2 linked regions of the Astyanax mexicanus genome follow. The protein of the gene in region 1 purifies or fractionates together with the protein of each later gene. This does not show direct contact. Links are inferred from orthologs where the notes say so. Each region holds a gene or a part of one and is shown in the gene's direction. Other genes may lie near its edges.

Region 1 (8,422 bases):
TCACCAACTTCATACTTTGGTTGGTGACAACATTTTATCTTATTTTGATAACTTATACACTTCTCTCAGTACATTGTGGAATTAATCAATGCTTAAAATACATTGACCAACTGCATGTTTCCATGTTTCATTACAGAAAGTATAATTAGTCTTGTTTAACTGGATAAAAAGCACGACATGCATTACTTAAATAACTGTAGCAATAATTACTGTTTGTTTTTTTATCTTTTTATATACAGCTCTGGACAAAATGAAGACCAGTTCAGTTTCTGAATCAGTCTCTTTAATCTTGCTATTTATAGGTATATGCCTGAGTAAAATTAACATTTCCACTTTTTTTTTATTCTATAACTTCGGACAACATTTCGCCCAAATTCCTAATAAAAATATTGTCCTTTAGAGGATTTATTTGCAAAATGAAAACAAAAAATGATAACAAAAAAAGCTTTCAGACCTTAAATAATGCAAAGAAAACAAGTTTATATTCAAAGTTTGAAGAGTCCAGAAATCAATATTTAGTGAAATAACCCTGGATTTTAATTACAGTTTTCATGCATCTTGACATGTTCTCCTCCACCAGTCTTACACTCTACTTTTGGATAACTTTATGCCTGCACTCCTGGTGCAACAATTTAAGCAGTTCAGTTCGGTTTGATGGCTTGTGATCATCCATCTTCCTCTTGATTATATTCCAGAGGTTTTCAATTTCAATTTTTTTCAACTCATCATTTTTAAGTGGTCTCTTATTTCCAGAGCTGCATATCTTTAAAAAATCTTTAAATATCATGGTACAATCAATACCTTTTCCCCATATCGCCCAGCTCTATAAACTCTATAAACTGATTTACAATAGCATACATATCATGCACAGGAGCATAACAGATGAAGAGAATTTTTTGTGAAATTAACTACAAATTCAGTTATCACTGACAGATTTGTTCCTCACCTCCTGAATTTTCTGGCTGCGCTCAAAGATGGCCTGAGCGTCTTTGTCTTTTTCTGTGTCCAGTGCATACACAGCTGTTGCCCCCATGTCCTCTGGCCCTTCAGGTTTCTGTTTCACATATAAAAATCAGCCCATCAGCAAAGTTTAAACAGAATTAAAAAGGAAGAAGAAGAAGAAGAAGAAGAAATCATCATCATAATAACTGCTCATGTAAAAACGCAGGTTGAATGCATTAGAATATAATAAAACAATAATATGAATAACATACCATTTTAAAAAAAGCATTAAGGATTAGATTTTCCATAGTAACTCTGACAGCACTGGCAGCTCTTGAGAGCAGAGCATAAGGCTGTAATTATATTTTAATTATTTGGTACCTCATGGAAATCTATGTGGGAGTTTGCATTAAAATCTACCCACTTCCATTCCCCCACTCCCTTTTCCACACTCAGGGTTGTGAAATGGAAATGGACAGGCTGGTTACTTTTTTGGCTGAACTGAGTTCTAGTAAGGTTGCTAAGCATATTTACCACCACCACTAGAGTAGTATAGATGGGCATTTAGAACAATGAAACAAATGTATACATGTGCTGATTAGCTAAACAGTGAGACTCGTCGACAATTGTTCTTGCAACCCGCGCGAGCTCAACATTTGGGAAAGAGAGGGTGGGGCAGAAAACTCTCTCCAATGTTTGAAAATTGAACTCCTGAAGCTATTTCACACTAGGGGTGGGCAATATTATATCGTATACAATATATCCTGACACAGAAATATCATGATATTAAAAATACATATCGTGATAATAGGGCTGTTCTGTCTTAAAAGAAGTCTATTATTTACTGTGAAGCTTAAGGTGTATTTATTGTATAATTGTTTTAGTTTGCAGTTTATATGCATGCTCTAAATATTCTGCAATAATATTTGCAGCATCATATTATTTTATGCTATATAATTTATTTTGCCACATTATGATTATTCTGTTATACTATTATACTATATTCCTGAAATGAATGAATTATTTTAGTTTTCCTATATCGCCAAGTATATCGTTATCGTAAAAATACTCTGAAATATCATGATATTATTTTAGAGCCATATCGCCCACCCCAATTTCACACACTCGTTTCCATTTATTACTGATTGTTCCTTTGAACACAAAAAAGAGCAATTAAACATAATACTGATTCTTGGGGCAGGTTTTCTTACCGCTGAGCGGGTGGATTTATAAGCCACTGTGATCTTTTTGGCTTCTTTGTCTTCTTCACTTTCACTTGATGAGACGGCTTCCCGCTCCACCTTCTTTGTCTGAAACAGGGATTTTGGTTGGTTAATGAACTAAAACCATAAAATATAGACAGGACTTGCAAAGCAGAGTCACAAAAATAATAAAGCAAATAGAAAACACACTAATTAACAAAATAAATTACTAACACACACTGTATTGTTAAAACATTAGATATGCTGTTATATCTAAGGCAGATATGTAAATGAAAAATGCACTGTCTGTCGTTATGAAATTTTTGGCATTACCCAAAGACCTAGCCCTAGACAAATATGCGACAACCTGTTTTGATGAAGATTTTATTATTTTTTGGTGAATGATGATTCTGGTTTCTGGTTAATGAGCCGAGTTAGGTTCCTAAGAGCCATTTTATTGGAACTTTGTGCTGAGTTGGGCACAGATTCATAGAGGCCAATGTTACAGAACCAGGCACAAAAAATAACGCATTTAGAGGTGTTAACAATGTAACCAGAAATCACCAGGTAATGAAGAAAACGTTAAAATAGGAGAGAAGAGAGTTCAGGAGGGGCAGGAACAGATATGAGTAAGTAATTTTTTTTGCTACTTATGTTACTATTAAATGTTCCTAACTGGGATACAGAACTGTTATAAAGGAACTAATAAAACACTAATGTCACAATATTATTAATTACTTTAAGATAAACAGCAATACTGATAATAAATCCCTTAAATAAAAAAAATACTAAGTCGTAACCTCACGGTTGTTTTGCCATTTGCTTCAAACATATATTTTGGGCTAGTTTAAGCTTTTGAAGGGCGGGTTTTAGACTGATTTAGGCTGGATATTTGTGTTGGACCTGGCAACGTTGTATTCCATAAAGACCTGGATTAGTGCACTCACCCTCTGGAACATGGGGTTCGCAGAGACGGGTTTCTTCTCTCTTCTGACCACGGCGTTCTTCTCCTCATCACTGCTTCTGTCTGACACAGGGAGCAGAGTTACTGAGCCTGATTCTCTGGAGTAAACTCTATATTCAGACCAAACACTGACTAAAACCGAGGATATAAATATGGAGCTGCGTCTTAATTCTATCTCTCATTCCACCTTAAACAGAGCGGTGGTTCTGTTCTAGCTCTAAGTTACCCGTCCGGACTTTACAGATAAATAAACACAATATAAAGATATATTCATAATAATTTACAGTCTTTAGGCTGCGCTGTCCGCGGAGGAACAGAACACATAACGTTACATATGAAATACTCAATCTTCGCCTCCTCCTCAGCATTTATTACTTGTATTATAACAGATTTAACCCCTCTACACTCACTAAAATAGTAAAAACCGCCTAATAAAGTTTACCTTTGTCGCTGTCGCTGGCTTTTCTCTTCCGAGCTGAAAACTTCTTACTGGATTTTTTGAACAAAAACGTGCAGGTCGCTTTAGTCTCCTCGGATTCCGCCATCTTTAACTAATGAAAATAAACTACACTCAGAGACAGAAGAGCAGCTACAGCTTTAACACAGCGCCTCTCGCCGCCTGGAGAGGAACTGCACGGATATACGACAGCGGATTCACAGCAGCAGTTTCAGGCCTGTGGCAGCGCTATACCTACTGTAACTTTATCCAGGTTTATACACTTTTTAACCAATACATTTTCAGGACTTTTTCATGTCTCCAAGGCAAATTGTCATGTCTATACAATCTTTAAAACATCAGTGCGGACAATACAATCAAAAATCAACTAAAACTATAAATAAAAAAAAAGTAATGTTCACACAATTTATGATAATAATAATAAAATGTGTGTCAGATCCTGAGAGCTTCATTGTGTAAGGCTATTATACAGAACTAACTCTGAGCTGATATATTTGTTAGCTCAAAATAGCTTTTCTCAGTCGATAAATGAAAACACACATATGTAGCCTGCAAATTTTAATTTTACCAAACCTTTCTGGGTATTTCTAGTTTTCCAAAACCTATCCAGGCATGGAAACTGCTATTTTAAATACCATAAATTTTTTAAGGGTTGACTAGATAGAGCCTGGCTTCTAGGCTGGCAGCTGCTAGACAGGAGGAGGAGGAGGAGGAGCAGGATGAAGAAGAAGTGCCATCGCATGAGTGGAGGTCAGGAAGATAAGATAATATAGTATAAAAATATAAAAATCGTTAAGAAAGCAAGAAAAAAAATAAGAGACCACTTCAGTTTCTCAATATGTGTCTCTGATTTTACTATTTATATGTGAATGTTTAAATAAAATGTTGTTTTATACTATAAACTATGGATATTTCTCCCAAATTCCAAATACAAATATTGTCATTAAGAGCATTTATTTGCAGAAAATGAGAAATGGCTGAAATAACAAAAAAGATGCAGAACTTTCAGACCTCAACTAATGCAAAGCAAACAAGTTCATACTCAAAAAGTTTTAAGAGTTCAGAAATCAATATTTGGTGGAATAACCGTAGTTATTTAATCACAGTTTTCATGCATCTTGGCATGTTCTCCTCCACCTGTCTTACACACTGCTTTTGGATAACTTTATGCTATGCCTGGTGCAAAAATTATAGTTGTTTGGCTTGGTTTGATGGCTTGTGATCATTCATCTTTCTCTTGATTATAATCCAGGGGTTGTTAATTAGGTAAAATCAAAGAAACTCTTCATTTTTAAATGGTCTCTTATTTTTTATATTTTATAATTTAATGATACAATACATACATATGTACAAATAAACAGTTTATGTAATTGTTTTATAAATAAAAATACAAGACATGCCGCACATGCAATTACAACATATACAATTTAAGGTACTGAACACATAATAAAGATAAAATACGTCTCACTGAAAAAATAAATACAGAAACATCGTGTGCCAATTTAGGGGCAGGATTCTTCCAATACGGCCTCTGAAGGGTGCATCCCCTGAATTGGGACACACTGATACCTTCTGACGTTGCCAAGTAATGCCGCCAACTGTGAACTACTGTCGTAAACAATGCCCCTTCATGAATTGTAGCGATTTACGGCGTGGCGCCATTTTGAGAGAGCGCGCAGCGCGGAGAGGAGCTGGAGAACTGAGCAGTAACGAAACTAGTGAAAGCGACCAGTACAGACTGGTGTTACAGTAACAGTCTACACTGGGAGGCTCTGTGGGAGCTGCTGAAGTCGTTATTTTGCGGAGCTCGGAGATTCTGCGCGGATTGGATGCGGAGCTGAGGTAATTTAATGTCCGACACGAGGCCTCGGAGAAAGCGGGCTGTGCTCCAATACGCGCTCTTGTGAACTAAATTCTAGAAAGCTTTGGGAGTGGGCACGTTTGGCTAGAATTTTTTTTATTTAATTATATTTTGTTTTAGTTAAGCGGAGTAGGTGCGTGTGGTCTTCATGATGTGGCTTATAAAGTGTATGTTTGCTAGTTTAAGTTAAAAAGAGTATTAGTTGGAACCGAGTTAGCGTTAGCTAAGTGCAGACTAGTAAGGGACCTTGGTCGAGGGCGCACCTTTTGCTCGCTTATTTAAACATGGCTAGCTGCTAGCTAGCACAACCAAGCCCTATGCGCTACGCTAGCTACCACACACATAGGTTATTTAGCTAACATATATAGGTTTCAGCGTCAGTTTGGTACTCTTTATGGATTTACACTAAATGTAGGTTTGTATTGGTGGATTAATTTATCTTAATTAATTGAGTAAATAATTTAAATTTATCCATGTAGATTAAATGTGTTGTGTTAGCTAGCTTAGCTTGCTTGTATTGAGTTTTGTAATGCTAAGCTAGCTGGCTAGCGCTAATTTACTATCTTAATGTTGTGTGTGTCTAATGAGCCAAACTGGGTTCTGAATTGATACTTTTACCTCACAGGAATTGGGTTGTTTACTTCTCTGATAGTGTTGATTTTACTTGTCTGGTCTCTGTAGTCTCTTTGTGGCCCATACCTTTATCAAGCAGTGGGTCTCAGACCCTGTTCTTTAGAGTTTGACGTTTTTAGTTTCTTTGTGAATTCCTTGCTGGCCTAATCTACAATGTAATGACATTTAATCGTAATATTGTGTAATATTGTTAAATGGCCATTTCTCTGCTCTGTTTAGGTGAACAATGACTCAGTTTCTGCCCCCAAACCTGCTGGCCTTGTTTGCCCCGCGGGACCCCATTCCGTTTCTGCCACAGTTGGAGAAGCTGCCCCATGAAAAACACCACAACCAGCCGTACTCTGGGATCGCTCCCTTCATCAAGCACTTCGAGGTATGAATTAGTAAAATTGCATGTTATGCCACACTTGTAGGTACTTAATGTTATGTAAGTACACTTGTAGGTAACTTTATGTAGTGTGAACACTTATGCCAGGTTCACACTACCCTGTTTTAGTCCAGTTTTTCAGTCACCAACAGTTTTTTGTTGACTGCTGACAAAAAGTCTGCTCAGAGCCAAATCAGGGATCTCTCAGCACTTGCACAGTTGTGTAACATGAATTAGACTCACAGCAAGTATTTGGCATGCTAGATATCTGACCCAGTCTGCGACTGGGAGTCAGGAGCAGCGGCTACATACTGGCAATGAAATCATGGAGAAAGAGAAAACCATTGGTCCAAAACACATCCCTGCGTTATTCACACTACACGACTTGTTGTTGAGACACTACACAACTGAATGTCTACACCGGATCTCAAACAGCAAATTTTTTTGCTGTGGGAAATCACAGACTTACCTGGCTGCTTTCCAGAAACACGTTTCCTTTCGTGCGCACCCGGACTAAACACACATGAGAACTAGCGATGCCATGCCAGAGAATCTCCATAGAGGAGAAAACACACTTGCAATGTGTCGAACATGAATATGTTCATATTAAGCAACTGAGCAAAATCAGACTTTAAAAATTTCTTTTTTTATTTATTTATTTTTATTTTTTTTATAACTGTCTTCAACACGGATCTATTAATCAAATGTTTCAGTACAGCAGACATAAATTTTAAGCCTTTTAAATGTGCACTACCTGTATATCGAGGCTCAGCTTGCCAACCAATCAGCTCACAGTACCAGTAATGCTAGTGCTTTTGCAGTGTAAAAGCTTTTTTTCTGTAGATAAACTAAAATATATAGGCAAGCTTTCTTTGCTTTTACTGAAATTAAAGAAGTACTCAGAACAAGTAGTAAATTATTATTTTTAATTTGAAGGTTTAGCATTTAGCTCCATTTACTATATACAAAACCACTAGTCATTAGAGGTATTGCCGTATTATTAATATTTATTAGGATCTTAACATATAAATCTTTTTACCTATTTTTAAAAACCTTAGCTCCTCATCAACTAGAGAGATTCCTCTGTGATAAGTTGTAAATCAACTGTAATGGTTTTGTACAGGTCATTAATTAATTTTATTTTAATCTTGTGTTGCGTTTTTAATCTTTATCCTTCCTTTCAATCAGGACCCTAGAGATGCACCGCCACCCACAAGAGCCGAAACGCGCGAGGAGAGGTTGGAGAGAAAGGTGAGAATATTGTGATGTTTTTATATGATAGAAAAAAAGCTTAACAAGGACTAGTGAGACACATTGTCTGTGTTTTCTGGCATTATCTTAATGACTGTATGTCGTGTTCTTTTCACAGAGGCGTGAGAAAATGGAGAGGCGGCAAACGGTAGTGGAGACAGAGCTGAAATTGTGTAAGTATGCAATGTATTTTAAGGATCTTAAGAGTTACACATTCCAGCCTGAGCACCAACTCAGTCCGACTTCATTCTTTCATTTCTTTTTGCAGGGGATCCTCATAATGATCCAAATGCCCAAGGAGATGCTTTCAAGACCTTGTTTGTGGCTCGAGTTGTAAGTTTTTTTTGTCCTTTCCTTTTTTTTGATTATTTTAAAATTTCTAGACTTCTAGACACAATATTAATCAGTGATGTCAGTAACGCGTTACTTAGTAACGCGTTACTCTAATCTGACCCTTTTTTTCAGTAACGAGCAATCTAACGCGTTACTATTTCCAATCCAGTAATCAGATTAAAGTTACTTATTTAAGTCACTGTGCGTTACTCTCTCTCTGTCTCTCCACCTCATCTCCTCCACACACACACACACACACACACACCGCTCCCTTACCCATTCCCCCTCCGCTCTTCCCCAATCACACGCGTCTCGCTTTCTCCCCTGTCTCTCTCTCTCGCGCTCGGCGTGTCTTTAGTTTCTGCCCGTTTTCGTTTTTCGCCAGTTCTCTGCGCCCTATCTCTTTATTAAA
Region 2 (7,756 bases), on another chromosome or scaffold:
AACTAAATACAAACCAAAGGCACCCCAATGCATTATGGGAACACACCCATGCCAGTGACATCACCATGTCCCTGTGTTTCTGTATACCCTTTAACTGGGTTAGTCTTCAATTTTAGTGGATACTGTGGGGAGAATGGGTGTCAAATTAAAATCAATTCTACCGTCTCCACATAAGAAGTTAACACCTACCCCATGCTGACTAGCAGATACCACTGACATACAAACATATACTGAAAACCAGCCAAAAAAACTTGAGTTTTGCAAAAGTTCTTATAAAAGAATCAATGTGTAAAAGTTAATAGATACATTTCTCTCATTCAGATGTTTTTCCCAGAAGGTTTATATTAGAGCCTTTTCCACTAATGTTTTTAAACGCTTGAAACTTTAGATAACAGTAATTTCACCCTTGATCAGCATCAACTTTAATCCCAACACACCCTACAACTGAAGACTGGGGATATATAAGGCAAGTATTCTGCCTTTCATCATGATGGTGAGTGCTCCAAAAAACAATTTCGTCTCAAATCCTTGCCCATTTCGGTTTCCAGTCTGCAGCATTACCTTGCTTGATATTTAAGGCACTTCCGCATGCACTCTAAAAAGTGATTTTGTGGTTTAGTCAGGAGAAATAATATTAGCAAGTTGAGTGAATTTACCGGGCAGTACAACTCAATAAAATGAGTTCAGACAATTTCAACCTGAAAACTTAAAAATGCTTATTGAGCCAATGAAAACATTTGATTTCAACCAACTTTTAGTAAACCACACGTGTCAATGCTCTTTTCACAGTAGGGTTCATACAGCTTTCCTATAGGCTCCTGGCACCATATATTAGCATTTTGGGTGTGGCCTCTCCTTTATTTACTATCTTTGTGTTGTCTGTTGCCCAAAGGTACCTTATCCTAGTCATGCATTCTCAGTGTAATGTAAGTGTTGATTGCCAGGCCTCAGTGTTTGTAGGCTTTAAAAACGTATCACTCTTATTCTGTGGTCTAAATTGTCACAGTATGTTAGTTCTATAAAAATATGTTAAAAATGTTGGAAATACTTTCATATTTAAATAATTAAAGCCAACAATTCTTGAAAAAAACTGTTGAGCTAATTAAACTACTGTTGTGTGATCAAAACTTCAAAGTCAAAGCTAAATTTGTTAAATTGAGCCAATGAATATTTATTTTCTATATGTTTATAAAAATTGTTTAGTTTAGTAGTGTTTTTCTGTTGACATGTACAACAAACACTTCTGAGTTTGTTAATCTAACTTAAAATGTTTTAGCAACTAATTTTAACACATTTTTTAGTTGGCAAGTCTAGCATATATTTTTCGATTACCGTGAGTAAATATATTAAGTTCAGCCAACTTAAAATATTAGATAATGATAAAATAACTATGATGAATTCTATGTTAAAGTGATTCGATAATTTAAGTTAAGCAAACATTTAAGACTTGTTAGGTCAACTTAATTGTGTAAGTGCAGAGAACAAATGAGCCATAAAGTTGTACTAGCTTTAAAAAAAAAAGGAAATTTGTTGCTTACGGATTATAAATTAAAGTGTTCAAATTTTTTACAGTGTACATGAGATATCCTTTTTCCAATTTCCATTAAACCATTAAACAGGTACTTTACACTTTTGATTAGCCAATGAAAGTAATTACAGTTAATCTCTGTTGTACAATTTGCTGAGTCTCATTGGTTCTATGGCCTTACATGTACTAGCTTGAAAATGCAAATCTAAAACTGCAGGTCTAGAAATGTGGTTGGCTCTGTGGCTGTGCAAACGGATGACGTAGCTTTAAACCAGTAGAGAAACAGATAGTCTACCATCCTTTAAACAAGAAAATCAGATATAATCAACAATCCTTTACACAAAAAAATCAGATATAGTCTACCATCCTTTAAACCAGTGAAACAGATATAGTCTACCATCCTTTAAACCAGAAAAACAGATATAGTCTACCATCCTTTAAACCAGATAAGCAGATATAGTCTACCATCCTTTAAACCAGAGAAGCAGATATAGTCTACAGTCCTTTAAACCAGAGAAACAGATACAGTCTACCATCCTTTAAACCAGAGAAACAGATAGAGTCTACCGTCCTTTCAACCATAAAAACAGATAGAATCTACCATCCTTTAAACCAGCATAACAGATATTGTCTACCGCCCTTTAAACCAGAGAAACAGATAGAGTCTACCGTCCTTTAAACCGGAGAGACAGATATGGTCTACCATCCTTTAAACCAGAGAGACAGATATAATCTACCATCCTTTAAACCAGAGAAACAGGTAGAATCTACCATCCTTTAAACCAGAGAAACAGGTAGAATCTACCATCCTTTAAACCAGAGAGACAGATATGGTCTACTATCCTTTAAACCAGAGAAACAAATATAATCTACCACACTTTAAACCAGAGAAACAGGTAGAGTCTAACATCCTTTAAACCAGAGAAACAGATATAATCTACCATCCTTTAAACCAGAAAAACAGAAAGAGTCCACCATCCTTTAAACCAGAGAAACAGATACAGTCTACCATCCTTTAAACCAGCAAAACCGTTATAGTATACCATCCTTTAAACTAGAGAAACAGATATAATCTACCATCCTTTAAACCAGAGAAACAGATATAATCTACCATCATTTAAACCAGAGAAACAGATATAGTCTACCATCCTTCAAACCAGAGAAACAGATGTAGTCTACCTTCCTTTAAACCAAAGAAACAGATACAATATACCATCCTTTAAACCAGAGAAACAGATACAGTCTATCATCCTTTAAACCAGAGAAACAGCTGTAGTCTACCATCCTTTAAACCAGAGAAACAGATACAGTCTACCGTCCTTTAAACCAGAGAAACAGATAGAGTCTACCATCCTTTAAACCAGAAAAACAGATAGAGCTCCCATCCTTTAAAATGTAGAAACACATATAAAGTCTACCATTTCCTTAAACCATTAGAAAAACATAAACAAGAGGAACAAATAGAGTCTAGATGCTAGTTTTCCTATCCTGTAAAACAGTAAAAAAATACAGTCTGTTGCTTCAAACAAGTAGAAAACATAAAGAGCCTACCAACCTTTAAACCAGTAAATCCAGAAAGACTACCGTCCTTTAAATCAGTAGAAAAATCGAGTCTACCATAATTTAATCCAGTAGAAAAACATATAGAGCCTACCTTCTTTAAATCAGTGGAAAAACATATGGAGTCTACGATCCAGTGAAACAGTTGAAAAACAGATGTTTTATAGTGACAGGTCTTTCCCAGGTAGTTTTCTATTTGCTTTGAGCGGTTTCCATACATTTCTGTACATTTGAAGCTTTAGCTAACAGTAACTTTACTAGAGTTTAGTATCAACTATAGTCAACACATATCTAGCAATAGGGAGGATTGCAAGACTGGTGTTTTTTTACTATTCTATTAGTTTTTCAAAAAGTAGTCGTAATTTGCATAATAAAAGAAAAAACTCGGGAGAGTGCTATATTGATTAATTAATTTATTTGAGCTGTTTCTGATACTGATTAACACAAACAAATATGTCAAATATTAGCGTGAGGGCTGGATCACGTTGGTGTTCAGAGCTGACCAATCAAATCAGGTCATAGCTTTTCTCCAGGGTAATAAAAGTGATTGACACCTATTTCAACCAATAATAATAATAAAAAAAACTTTGAACTTCAGAGCGCACACAGCGCGCACACGTGTGGATTTGTGTGTCATTTAATTTAATTTAAAAATTATTAATATTAATATTACTCTGAAATGGACTAACATTATTTTGTCACAAACAAACAAAAAAATATTAAACTCTTGTTGTTTAATGACAGATTTACTTCCTTGGCACTTCCTTGGAGAGGTTTTGAACACTTTGGAGACGCCTGGTGGACACCTAATATAATGCAACGTAGCTTGTAAATGCTTTCTTGTAAATTTCTCAAATTTTGTAATTTGTTTTCAAGACACTAGTGAATCAGGAAATATATATATATATATATATATATATATATATATATATATATATATATATATATATATATATATATATATATATATATATATATATTTATATATATATATAAATATAAGATATATATACGTAGGTAAAGAAAACCTTAAAGAACAGGATGACAGAATTTAAGAAGTTAGATTTGTGTAGATACTATACTATTTCCCAAAAAGGGAAAAAATATTCAAAATATGATTAACAGTAGATATATTACAGTTTAAACCAAAGAATAACATTCTTACATGTTATATTCAACCTAATCAGTATAAAAAAAATTAAGGTGAAGGCGTGGTAAAAGCGTGGCGGGGTGGGAACCTCTTTACTGGGTCATCAGTGTGCGCCCGGAGTCCTGCACGCTTAGCCTCGCTAGCCTAGCCGAAGCTAACTTACCACACCGGAGTTTAGGGTTTGTTTTTGTTCCTCCTGCAGCTGATTCTGATCATTAAAACACCCGAGGAGACGCAGAAACACAGCAGATAACCCCGTGTACCGGCGGGTCTGTTTTAGAACGGATTTATTGTGTATGTGATCGCTGAGGAGCAGTTAGACTGAACACCCGGTCTGCAGAGAGCAGTGAAGAGTGGGATGGTGCTGCTTTGAGTTTGGCGCTTTCGGCTCGACCATCAGGTGAGATACAGCTGCTCTACCTGCTGCAGCTCCTGCCCTGTGCTTTTACTGTCTTTTCACTGTTTTACCCAACCTACTGTTAGTGATTAACACACAGAGTTCAGGAGAGCGAACTGATGAACATGATTAACGTGTTAGAGCAGAGAAAATACTAGTACAGTACCCTGATCCTGTACTACTACACTCATATTCCAATAGAGAATCTTCATTGCTCAGCGTTGTCTATATACAGCTCTAAAAAAAAAAGAGATCACTTTAGTTTCTGAATCAGTTTCTCTGATTTTGCTATTTATAGGTATATGTTTGAATAAAATGAACATTGTTGTTTTATTCTATAAACTACGGATAACATTTCTACCAAACTCCAAATAAAAATATTGTTAGAGCATTTATTTGCAGAAAATGAAAAATAGATAAAATAACAAAAAACAAAATAAAAAGACATCAAATAATGCAAAGAAAACAAGTTCATATTCATAAAGTTTTAAGAGTTCAGAAATCAATATTTGGTGGAATAACCCTGTTTTTAATCACAGTTTTCATGCATATTGGCATTTTTTCCTCCACCAGTCTTACACACTGCTTTTGGATAACTTTATGCCACTCTTGATGCAAATATTCAAGCAGTTTAGTTTGATGGCTTGTGGTCATCCATCTTCCTCTTGATTATATTCCAGAGTATTTTTTTGTGTCATTACAGGTTGTAGGTCTGATATTATTTTCATTCAATTGATGATCTCTTTTTTTTAATATTTAGGTATCAATATTGTCATTTTAGTCTGACAATGAATGTCTGTACAGAAATCGACTATACGTCCAGGAGTGTCCAGTTATGTCCAGTCACCCTTCCTTGTGTGTTGAGTCACACACCAAGAAAAGCATTTCCAGTCTAATGGGGCACAATCACATAATGAGCTTAAAGTCTCTTTGGCAAGTTTGTCCAGAGTTAAGTGACTGGGTCTAAAACAGAGCTTGGTTATGCTTATGATTCACAGTGCTTCTGGCAAAACTATGTTTACATTTTTTGAATGCTTTATTGAATTCTCTTTCCGGGGAATTGGTTATTCATACACAAGAAAATTCTCTTGTGGATACCCCTTTTTTTACACACATACAGCTTGTTCAATCCAAATAGAAAAGCAATTAATGAAATGTGCTGTGTACCACATAAATATAAGTTAATGGTTTTAAACATGACCTTAGTTAAGTTCTCTGGAGTGATGGAGTTCTGTTTAAAAATAACAAATAACAGTCGTCATCATCATCATCATTTTATTCACACATATATGTTTTTCACACATAAATTTGTTTTTGCATTATTGCTGTAAATTCCAGGTATGACAGACAGCGAGAACATGTCGACTGGAGGAGACCTGAAGGCCAAGGAGCTCAGTGAAAAGAAGCAGGATAATGAGAAAAAGAAGAGGTCTCGGGTGAAACAGCTGTTGGCAGATGTGAAGAAACAAGTGGAATTCTGGTTTGATGATGTGAACCTTCACAAGGACAAATTTTTACAGAACGTCATTAGTAAATCAAGAGATGGTTGTAAGTTGAGATTACCTCAAGTTTTAGAATGACTGTCATTGTTGTCTTTGATTGATGAGTGTCTAAAGCGGCATTAATAAAAAGAATGTATTAAATCTATTGTCAAATCCATGTAGTTGTTTTAAACATAAACTCATTGCACGTTTTGGTCTTGTTTTGCAGATGTTGACATATCTCTTCTAACAACCTTCAATAAAATGAAAAAGTTGACCACAGATGTTAAACTAATAGCGAGAGCTCTCACAAATTCCTCTGTGGTAGAGGTAAGAATTGCCTGTATGTTAAAAAAAATATATAATGATTGTGATAGTAATGATAGTAATAATGATTGTGCCTTCACTTGATATTCTTGGATTTATTATTTGTCAGGTTAATCTCAAAGGAACTCAAATAAGACGTAAAAATCAACTGGGGGACAAACCTCAAGATATCGACAGCCGCACAGTATATGTGGTAAACATCATTTTTATTATTGGCTAATTTTTTATCTGTAAATGTTTATCTGTCAGTTGATCATAACTTATGTGTCTGTTTAGGAACTCCTGCCAAAAGATGTGACCCATGTTTGGATAGAACGAGTGTTTAGCAAGTGTGGGAATGTAGTGTACATCAGTATACCCAGGTACAAGATTTCAGAGTCCCCCAAGGGCTTTGCTTTTGTGGAGTTTGAGACAGATGCTCAAGCACAAAAAGCCATAGAGGTAGGTATTGGATTCTACTTCACATGATAAATTATTGGGTTACATTTTTGTGTTTTAGAAGCTAACTTTACAATTCAATAATTTACGCAATATCTTCTATTTCATAGATGTTGAACAACCCTCCAGAGGATGCTCCAAGGAAGGCAGGCATTTTCCCAAAGTCTTTAACAGATAATCCTGTCCCTTTGTGTACAGCACAGGATAGCACACAAGGTACCCTTCCATATGAAACACAAATTGTTTGGCAACACATGTACATTTGCCTTAGATCTGTTAAATACACAATATTCACTGAAGTCATGTCGTATTGTTTCCCAGGATGCATTAATAGGCATTCTGAGGTTTTAAATTATGATATATCACTTTGTACACATTTTAACAACAAAGCTTGCACAAGATTGTACTCTGTTCAGTGCCATTTCTTTTAATAAATCACACACAGAGGGTAATATTGTGATATAATATTATTTAATAATATTTTTGAGAAATATTTTCCACACCAAATTCAGAGTGCGTTTGACTTTCACAATCTGGTGCACATAAATTTTAGTGATGCATTTATCTTTCCGAAAATCAGAATTTTTTATTAACTTTTAAATCCAGCACCAATTTCTTTCTCCTCTTTTAGATGAAGATGAGGATGGAAAGAAGAAGAAGAAGAAAAAGAAGAAAGCTCGCAGTGAACTGAAAGAGGATTCCATTGAAGAAATGGCAGTTGAGAAGGTAAAAGAAAAAGAGCCTGTTGTTGAAGCTGAGGTGGCCAGTAAGAAAAGGAAAGCTTCGTCTGAGGGCACTGAGAAAGAGAGTGCCAAGGAGGCTAAGAAATCAGAGAAGAAAAGGCGCCGATCCCGTAGTTCAGAGGTGTCTGGTGT

The links. Proteins that work in one complex are often made in the same cells at the same time.
Region 2: the proteins of snrnp70 (region 1) and larp7 purify together in Homo sapiens (affinity purification with mass spectrometry; 3 studies listed by BioGRID and IntAct, counting the BioPlex papers as one, with this or other methods). This does not show direct contact. The link is inferred for Astyanax mexicanus from reciprocal best matches to the Homo sapiens genes SNRNP70 and LARP7.

Annotation. Positions count from the first base shown.
Region 1 is NC_064426.1:20,936,260-20,944,681, reverse strand, and holds the start of snrnp70 (U1 small nuclear ribonucleoprotein 70 kDa), read left to right. Parts: upstream 1-5,210; 5' UTR 5,211-5,407; intron 5,408-6,278; 5' UTR 6,279-6,285; coding exon 6,286-6,432; intron 6,433-7,614; coding exon 7,615-7,677; intron 7,678-7,795; coding exon 7,796-7,850; intron 7,851-7,945; coding exon 7,946-8,010; intron 8,011-8,422. Other genes in the region: E3 ubiquitin-protein ligase RNF113A, read right to left, coding at 947-1,054, 2,154-2,252, 3,092-3,171, 3,551-3,653. UniProt on the Homo sapiens protein: Component of the spliceosomal U1 snRNP, which is essential for recognition of the pre-mRNA 5' splice-site and the subsequent assembly of the spliceosome. SNRNP70 binds to the loop I region of U1-snRNA.
Region 2 is NC_064415.1:28,220,868-28,228,623, reverse strand, and holds the start of larp7 (la-related protein 7), read left to right. Parts: upstream 1-4,347; 5' UTR 4,348-4,638; intron 4,639-5,973; 5' UTR 5,974-5,975; coding exon 5,976-6,183; intron 6,184-6,345; coding exon 6,346-6,446; intron 6,447-6,552; coding exon 6,553-6,636; intron 6,637-6,719; coding exon 6,720-6,884; intron 6,885-6,991; coding exon 6,992-7,097; intron 7,098-7,512; coding exon 7,513-7,756. UniProt on the Homo sapiens protein: RNA-binding protein that specifically binds distinct small nuclear RNA (snRNAs) and regulates their processing and function.